Xenopus tropicalis: one gene and its partner. The protein of the gene in region 2 interacts with the protein of the main gene of each other region in a biochemical or structural test. Links are inferred from orthologs where the notes say so. Each region holds a gene or a part of one and is shown on either strand. Other genes may lie near its edges. The genes, in order: flot1 and sorbs1.

Evidence for each region.
Region 1: the proteins of sorbs1 (region 2) and flot1 form a complex in vitro, tested with the Homo sapiens proteins (2 studies listed by BioGRID). The link is inferred for Xenopus tropicalis from reciprocal best matches to the Homo sapiens genes SORBS1 and FLOT1.

What each region holds. Positions count from the first base shown.
Region 1 is NC_030684.2:75,252,147-75,256,761, forward strand, and holds the start of flot1 (flotillin-1), read right to left. Parts: upstream 3,094-4,615; 5' UTR 2,984-3,093; intron 410-2,983; coding exon 364-409; intron 1-363. UniProt on the Homo sapiens protein: May act as a scaffolding protein within caveolar membranes, functionally participating in formation of caveolae or caveolae-like vesicles.
Region 2 is NC_030683.2:39,374,135-39,378,600, reverse strand, and holds the start of sorbs1 (sorbin and SH3 domain-containing protein 1), read left to right. Parts: upstream 1-1,358; 5' UTR 1,359-1,411; coding exon 1,412-1,458; intron 1,459-4,466. UniProt on the Homo sapiens protein: Plays a role in tyrosine phosphorylation of CBL by linking CBL to the insulin receptor. Required for insulin-stimulated glucose transport. Involved in formation of actin stress fibers and focal adhesions.

The DNA of each region.
Region 1 (4,615 bases), on a different chromosome or scaffold from region 2:
TTGTTTCTACCTCCTTATCTGCTGTTTCAGCCCTGACTGTGTGTGGCGGATCTGACAATGTTTTGTGCGACCGATGGTTGCACACAACATCGTTAGATCGCCACGTGTATGGCCAGCTTAAGAGGCAAACATTTTTAATTTTTAGTACTGCAAACACCCAGCACAAACCAACTGAAGTTTGTTTCTGTTGCCCTCTACTGTAGTATCCTGAAACCACTAGTTCAAGGGGCTAGTCATTCTCGTTTCAAAACTTAGTGGTGTGTTAAACACAAAGACTAAAATTGTGTAAGCTGTGCTGGCTCCTCTATTCTACAGGCATCCACAGCCTATATTACAAAACGCTCACGTAAAAAAAAACTGTACCTGATACCACCATAGCTTCATTAGGGCCGCATGTATAAAACACCATCTGTGAAAAGAGTAACAAAATATAAATGGAAAGCAAAATGACAGATTATAGATATGAGCATAACTATCTGAATGCACAGAAAACAAGAAACATTCAAGGTAAAAAAAAAAAAAATTCATGATGTGACATCCCAAGCCCATTTGATGTTAAAAGGCATCCTTCACTCTGGTAAGTGATTTGTTGATTATACATGTACATTATGTACAGTATGTATGTGTGTGTGTTATCAAGATGTTGACCTCCACCAAATCTGCAGCACTGGGCATAAAGGTCCCCATACACGGGCCAATTCTAGCTGCCGATATCGGTCCCTTAGACCGATTCTGCAGCTAATCAGCCCATGTATGGGCACTACCATCGGGCAGGTTAAATAATCTAGTCGGATCAGGGACCACATCGGCTCGTTGGTGTGATCCCCGGACTGACTTTGCCTATACCCGTCATTACAATTCGATCGTTTGGCCCCAGGGCCCAAGCGAGCGGATCTGAAGATGTATGGGCACCTTAAGGCTAGTGCCACACAGAGCAGCAAGGAGGATCTGACCCTACGCTTAAAAAAACTTTAAATTGTGCCTGCACCCAGAAGTACTGCTTCAGTCCGGGTGCAGGCAGAAACACCATATTTTGGAAAAAAGGGAAAACATCCGCGATAAAGAATATTCAGTGGAAGACTGTAGCAACATTTTCCAACCCTTTCCTGTGGGGAGCTTATAATGATGTGAAAAGTATTTTAAAGGAGACATATTGGATAAATGGGAAAAAAAGGTAATTTTGTAGGCAATTATGAATAATATCCGGTGCTGGTTTCCCTTTGGGCTAAACATTAACCCTATCTGTAACAATGGCCCCTTTATTGGAGCACCCTATAGATCCTATCACTTCTCTGTCCGAGTTTGAAATGAAGAGTGGGAGTGTCCTAACGGTCCCTGCCAGAAGCACAGTAGGAGGGGGAGAGCCAATCACAGCCCTGCACTCACACAAGCAAAGACAGGCTTTAGTTCCCTATCAGGTCAGCCTAGCTGCGGATTGGTTCCTATCCCACAGTGCAGGGTACGGAGGGCCGCCGGCTCCCCAGCTCATCCAGAGAATTCAGCCAGCAGGAAGTGGAACAGATGGGCGGGGTTAGTGGGGTTTTTGTGGAATTTCTCAATAAATCAGTCAGAAACACAACTTTTTTTAAGCACAATCCTACTATATCTAGGAGTATAATTCACTGGTACATTCATAATTTTTATAGGATATGTCTCCTTTAAAAATTCCCGATATCCCCTTTTACAGCACAGTTTATATAATACATGGTTTCTGATCTTAAAACAAAATGTAATATAAGGAAAGATGTAATACATAGGTAAAAAGTTATCCATATCACCCACATACAAAAGCAACTGCCCCTTATTTACTCAAACCATCTGACAAAATCTAATTCTCACAATTACATTCATCCAGTTGACTTGGGATTGTCCTAAAATCTTTCATTCCACACACTGAAATCTGCCTGTATATGACTACCTTAAAAGCGAAGATTTGGTTTGTCGGGCATTTAGATTCAGCTGAACCAAAATCCTGCAAGAAAAAGTCTTGGATCTGGCAGAATTTCAAACCGAACCCGGCAATTAGTGCATATCTAGAGATAACAGTACAAGAAACTAAACTACTCCCATCAACAAGTGAAGGCAAGGAAAACCCACAGGTGTAAAAACAATTGTAATAAGAAAATTCAAGCAACTACTGTATATCAATTTTCAGCTTTATACCGGCTCCCTCAGAACAACCAACGCCTACACCAAATGCTACTGCATAGCCCTTTTACGGTTTTTACACATTAGAAACGTACTTTCTATTCCCAAAGGGACATTTTTTTTCTTAAACATTAATATCAGCCAAAAATACAGTTCACATATGAAGCGACAGCAAATATCACAATTTCCTTTCACAAAATAATCTGTGTGATGGTTAGTATATGCAGTGCAGTTGTGCAATCTATCACTTGCCTGCAATCCGCTAACAGGGAGGTTCTGCACCAACAGCAGTAAATTGGTTAATGCACAATAAGCCTTATAGACAGCAAAAGGAACATTTTATTTTTGACCTCATCTACAATATAAAATGTAAGTGGATATAGCCCATGGATGTAAAACATAATGAATATTTTAAAGAAAACAGGTATGTTTAAAATCACAATTTGCCACTAATGCGATGGATTATTGAATGTGCCATGCCCTGTAACGCTCCCCAGCACGTATTATTTAATGCATGGATATTATTAACATATTACGGGAAACAAACAGGAGATACAGAGGCTACAGGCAGGTCTCCTCCTAGCAAAGGGCATATGTTTACAACTTATATTAGCTCTCTAAATAAAGAAACATAATTAGCTACTAAATGTATATTTAGCTTACACACACCCATAGCGGCAGCAGTAAAAGCTACACTGTATGCGTGACTCGCCAGGAAGCACAATTAACTGGATACATACATACACGATGCACGGATGTTGCACAGACATTTAGGTATTAGCGATTAGAAGTATTGTACCCGAAACAGACAAAATATTAACTCAGTAAACCGCACCTTGACTCTTAGATGTAAGCTCCTCTCGGCTTTTCCGTAACCTTATTAGTATGTCGCAATTTGAGCTTTATTTCCTAATTTTTCCACCCTCCCTTTTGCTTGTGTTTTCCTTTCTCGCCTCTCGACTCCACCCTATTCCTCCTCGTCTACCGTCCCCCCCCCCCCAGCACTCCCCTTCTCTTCACTAACTATAGAGCCAATCCCCCCACTCACCTCAGCAAGTTAGCGCCACCTGTCGCATTGGCAGGCTCAAGGCCGAGAGATGCGGAATTGTTCTAACGTGTAACTCTTACAGAACACAGCCAACACGGAACGCTGCATACACAGAAATATACAAAACGCATTTATTAATATATCACTCCATAATGCAGCAAATCTGTAGTAACAGTCTTACCACTGTGCATGGCGCAATATATTTCATGTGACCACACAAATCATGTAAATTAAATAAGCATGTAATATTTGCTGAAATTTTCACAATACTTGTAAGCACAAGGGGTCGTACCAGGGCAATTTTGCTCTAGATTTAATTTATGCTATAACGCCACATGGTGCATTAGCTTGTATGGGGCATTTGGGGCTTTATTCACATAGTAAAGGTGGGCAATATTAGTTTGATTTGATCATTTGGCCCGAAGGCCAAACAGCTGGATCAGAGTGACAGTACACAGGCAGGACAAGGACCACATCTGAGGGCCCATACACAGCCAATAAACTGCTGACTGTCAACAACTTTCATGGGCCCCTGTATGGTCACCTTTACATAGCTAAGCAGCAGCGCTGTCAACCCCCTCTATTTGTTCTGGGGTTACCAGACTTTGATGGCTCTCCCCCGGTCTCCCGTCCCCCAGCAGTATTCTCCTGAAATCTTCCAAAGTCCTGCAGCGAATTCTGGGTGCACAGTAAGCAGGGTTGAAAAAAGTCCATGAAGTTCAACACCTCTAAATAAACCCCAGTGCACATATATACACATGCATATACAGTACACACCTATCTATGCACTAACATGTATAACTATATACAGTATATCAATACCTAACAACATTACTATATATAGCACTATCTAACTGTAGGTCTAAGGCTAATGTCAGACAAAGCGCCTGGCGTGTATTTTCGGAAAGCTGAAAATATCACCATCCGCCTCCTACCTGTGCCTGCACCCAAATTAATGAGATACGCTTGGGTGCAGGCCGGAATACACATAAAAACGCGAGAGAATGCAAAGACTTGTGTTTCTATGCAGATATTGGCTACATGTGCCTGCACCTGAGCGTATCTCATTCATTTGAGTGCAGGCACAGGTAGGAGGTGGAAGGCGATATTTTCGGCAAGCGATTTTGCCTAAAATATATGCCAGATGCCTTGTCTGACATTAGCCTAAAGGTACTGGCACACAAGGAGATATAGTAGTCATCTGCAATAAATCTTCACTACCACAGGCAACTAATCTCTGTCAATGCTTCCCCCCATTGCTGGTAGCAAAACATAAGCAGCGTTTCATTTTTTGGAAGTTGCCTCGCAAGAGCCCTGAATGTTTTCCTACCAGCGTTTTACATTTTTGCTGGTGGGAACACATTTGAAGTTTGTTTAAGAAGCTACTCTTAAAAGCATATATTGAATCTGCCATCGCAA
Region 2 (4,466 bases):
GCCCTAAATGTCGCCCAAACTGGCCTTCATGCCAATCACTTGGGCCCTGTCCTGTGGTTTCAGAACATCTGGCACCCCATGCCAATCACTTGGGCCCTGTCCTATGGTTTCAGAATATCTGGCACCCCATGCCAATCACTTGGGCCCTGTCCTATGGTTTCAGAACATCTGGCACCCCATGCCAATCACTTGGGCCCTGTCCTATGGTTTCAGAACATCTGGCACCCCATGCCCAGCACTTGGGACCCTGTCCTATGGTTTTTGAACATCTGGTCTAACCTGATATGTGAGTAAATAATCAAACTGGGAAGACTTTATATATTACAGGGCCACTATTACATTACTACATTGCGTAAGGGACCATGTTTTGAAGAAAAGCAATTATTAAGGAATTGTAAAGAATTGGCAGCTCCTTCTGATTCTTCAATGCACACAACAAGCTGTGGTCACATAAGTTATAGTTTGCTTCAAGGAAATGAATAAAAATATATAATAACCAGAATTATTTTTTAATTATAAAATACACTTAACTTACACTATACTGAAAAACTACTTTTTCTGGTACCTATAAGTTCTTGGTCTTTGCTTTTCTGGCCACCTGGGATTCATCCTTCATGCGATTTCATTGTTTTACCTACATGCTTACCAACTGAATTGCACAAGGAATTTCCTATGCGAATAGGCTATTGCCCTACCTTGATGGACATTATTGGTGAACTGGAATTTTCTTGGGCACATAGTAATGGGAAAATGTTATGGAAGAAAATATAAAAAAATGTTTAGACTAATACCAGACAGGACTAATTTCTGGCCTGTGGTTAAACGTGGTTAAACGTTTATCCGCAGCCCGGTTTGGCATTATCCTTAGGTTGTGTAGTTAAGGTGCCTGGCAATGCAGGAAGACTGGTAGCTTGTGTTGAGCAACAACTGGAGAGCTTTGTACTTTTTTGTGATCTAATCTTTTTTCATGAATAGTCCCTTATGATGCCGGTTCCTAGGACAACTGCCATTTCTGATCATCCCTAAAACTAGCCCTAACAAAGGTCACAGAGGAGGCTTACCTTTTTTGCTATCCCACAGAGCTTGTATTATTTATACAGATCTCTTTTCTCATGTATGTTGTGGTCGGCTACATTAGAGAGAGGTTATTATTGAAAGATATTTTACACCTTTTTTTCCCTTTCGTCTGTTTGATGTTAACGTCAAATGGAATGTTATGCTGCTGAAAGGGCTGGTGCATTGTAAAGCAGCCAGTGACATCACTAAGAAACAAAGCTAATTTAAGCTTCAAGGAGGGTGGGTACGGAGTAGATATTTAAATGTACAGAGGGAGGAGAAGCTTGTCAAAGACACTTTTCATTTTGTGAAGCTCAGACGTTTTCTTTAAACTCGCGGTTAAATAGTTTGAAACATGCGGCACAAGCAGATCACAACCTTTAAAGAGGAGTATATCGAAAGGTAAGGATCTGGAATGAAGGAAATTAAACTTTGCTTGTCAAATACAGAGCTTTTTGACTCAGGAATGTCTCCATACTGCAATTCTTCTTTAAGAAGATATGTTGCAGCTTATCATGGTGCAGTGTTTCCTAATGGTGACAGTCTATATTCACTTTCTATGTGGATGTTGTGGTTGCTGGGAGTTTTAATTGAAGATCCTTCCATATTGCAATGTCTAGATCTGTGATTAACACTAAGTTTGCTTAACGGAACAGTCAATAAACAAGACCAAGTGGGTTTTCTGATCAAAGAAAGTCATAGAATTACCTGAAACAAGTGCTAAAATTGCGTGATCCTCTTGACATCACACAGACTTCACATTAAAACAAACTCTTTAATCATGTTAATACCCCTGTGTTGTAGCCTTAAGAGAGACTCCTATGACAGCTGTGTAGCAGTTGCAGTTGTGGTGTGGTTCACAGATGTTTGTTAGATTAGCATGTGGTAAGTGCTAAACAGGCCACTGAAACATTTCCAGATTTGAAGAGTAATATGTGTTGCATTATTAGGAAAAAAAAAGGCAGTCAAAATCCATAATGTTTAACGATAAGCATGTTTTGTGTTTGGTTTTAGTAGGTGATGTTGTTAAAAAGACCTAAAAATATATAACGCTTTGAATTCTTAGAGATCTTCTTTCATAGTTCTTTGTTTTGACTTGGCTGCCTTAAAGAAAGCAAATCTCCCCTTTATTGAAGTAAGTTAGCAGTACTGAACGACTGCATGTACCACTGTGGGTATCAGTTGGTCATAACTTTTTGTAATTTTTGTTCAGGGTCATTGCCCCGCAACAACCAAAAATTGTTTCCCTACGAGGCTACATTGGTTATTGTTATTTTTCACTGCTTATCTTTTTATTTATGTTTTCAGCTATTCACTTTCCAGTCTGTCATTTGAACCTCTACCTGGTTGGACCCTAGCAACCAGGTAGCTGGCAAAAATCCAAACTGGAGACCTTCTGAGCAAAAAGCTAACTAATTCAAAATCTAAAAATGATAAAAAAAAATGAAAAACAATTGTATATTGTCTTAAAATGTCTGTCTACACCATGCTAAAAGTCACATTTTATTTTTGTTGAAACTGCATTTTTTCAATTGCAAATTTCAGTTATTCCTATGCCAGGTTAGGGCAGCTTTTAGACACGTTCATATGAATGTTCTTGTTTTGCTTGCTGGGAAACAAGTCATGTCCATCATGCTTCCTATCTCTGTGTCATATTTACTATGCTTCCTATACCAACCCCTGTAATATCAGCACATATTTTCAAGCTTTCACAGGTTGACTTAACTACGGATGATTGATTATTGTACATTTATTTATTTGAGCTTAGAGGACTTTGATCTTATGGCTGATGATTATTGCAAGTGCTGGTATGGAATTTACTATCAGAAAAACAGCATTGCTATTCTGTCTGCATAAGCATTTTTATATGATAAGACAGTATCTTGTATCTAATGTTACCTGAGCTATCATAAATCATAATTTTGATATTTTAAAGGCATGGTTCACCTTTAAATTAACTTTTAGTACATTCTGAGACAATTTGCAACTGGTTTGCTCATTTTGTCTCTACATAGAGAAGAATACCTAAACTGGTGATACTTCTTCAAATCGCTTATCGCTCCGAATCGCCATGAGATCCTTTTTCGAGCGATTTTACAAAGAAAGCATTGTCATTCAAAACTATTGGAATCGCTGAAAGTAAAACCAACTAGGTGTGAAGTTGCTGCGATTTCCCCATTGCACTGAATGTAATTTCTAATTGTGGGAGAGGAATATGACACCTTTGTGGGAAATAGAATCACTCCGTTGTGGAAATCTGTAGTAATTGCTTGTTAGGAAAATATGAGCGACTTTTAAAAATCGCAGCGACAAAATCTCCCCATGGGACATTAGCCTAAATGGTGACTTTCTATTGCATCTTACAGCAGCCCCACTGGCATTTGCCAGAACCAGATTGCCAGTCCAGGCCTGGTTGCAAGGTTCCAGTATACCCTAGCTACCAGACTGTGGTTTAAATGTGAGACTCGAATATGAATAGGGGAGAGGCTTGAATAGAAAGATAAGTAGCAAAAGCAGCAATAACAATAAAACTGTAGCCTTACATAGAAATAGATTTTTGGCTGCTGCGGTCAGTAACCCCAAAATGACAGCTAGAACGAAGTAGAGGACAATTTTAAAAGTATAAAAAAATTAGGGTAAATTGAAATCTTGTAATTAGGGTAAATTGAAATGTTGTTAAGTATATAACATATTATAATGGAAATTGGAACCATTGTGAGGAATGTTGATTTACAAGCTAGTGTATTGTGGGTTCAGAATATTTTTTTGCAGGGGGCCCACAGATTGTCTTATTCCCCTGCTAATAGCCTTAAGGCACTGTGCTCCTTGACGTCTTATCCAAAACCCCAGTTCCCAAGAACTCCAGATATATTTCATACCTGTGCCAGAATAATTTTATTGGAACAGGGATTCTTAACCTATTTGTCCCCAAAATGGGCTATGCACTATCTCCCTAATTACACTGACAGAGAACTTAACATATCTGTATGAAAATGTTCATGTAATTTTAAACAAATCAAGATATTCAATGATCATCAGCAACCTGGGAGAAGTGACTTTAGCTTTGCTAATCACGCTATCATAATTTGCTGACTTGGAAATGAGCAATGCAAAAGAAACTTTGTCTGCCCAGACTGCACATGAGCACAATTAGCAGCATATTACTTATCTACCTGTAAATATTACAATATATTTTTTGTGTAAAGGCACTTTATAATGTAGCATCTAGCTGATTGGCTTATTGGGTTGATAACTGTAATTGTTATTATAGTAATTACTTATCCAGCAACTGTTATTGAATCTTAAAAAACAAGATAATAGGTTTTTTTTTCCGCTTTTCTTGCCGAGTTAAATGATGGTACTCCAAAGCCTTAAACTGGCCGTATTCACAGATAAAACTATATGAAGCT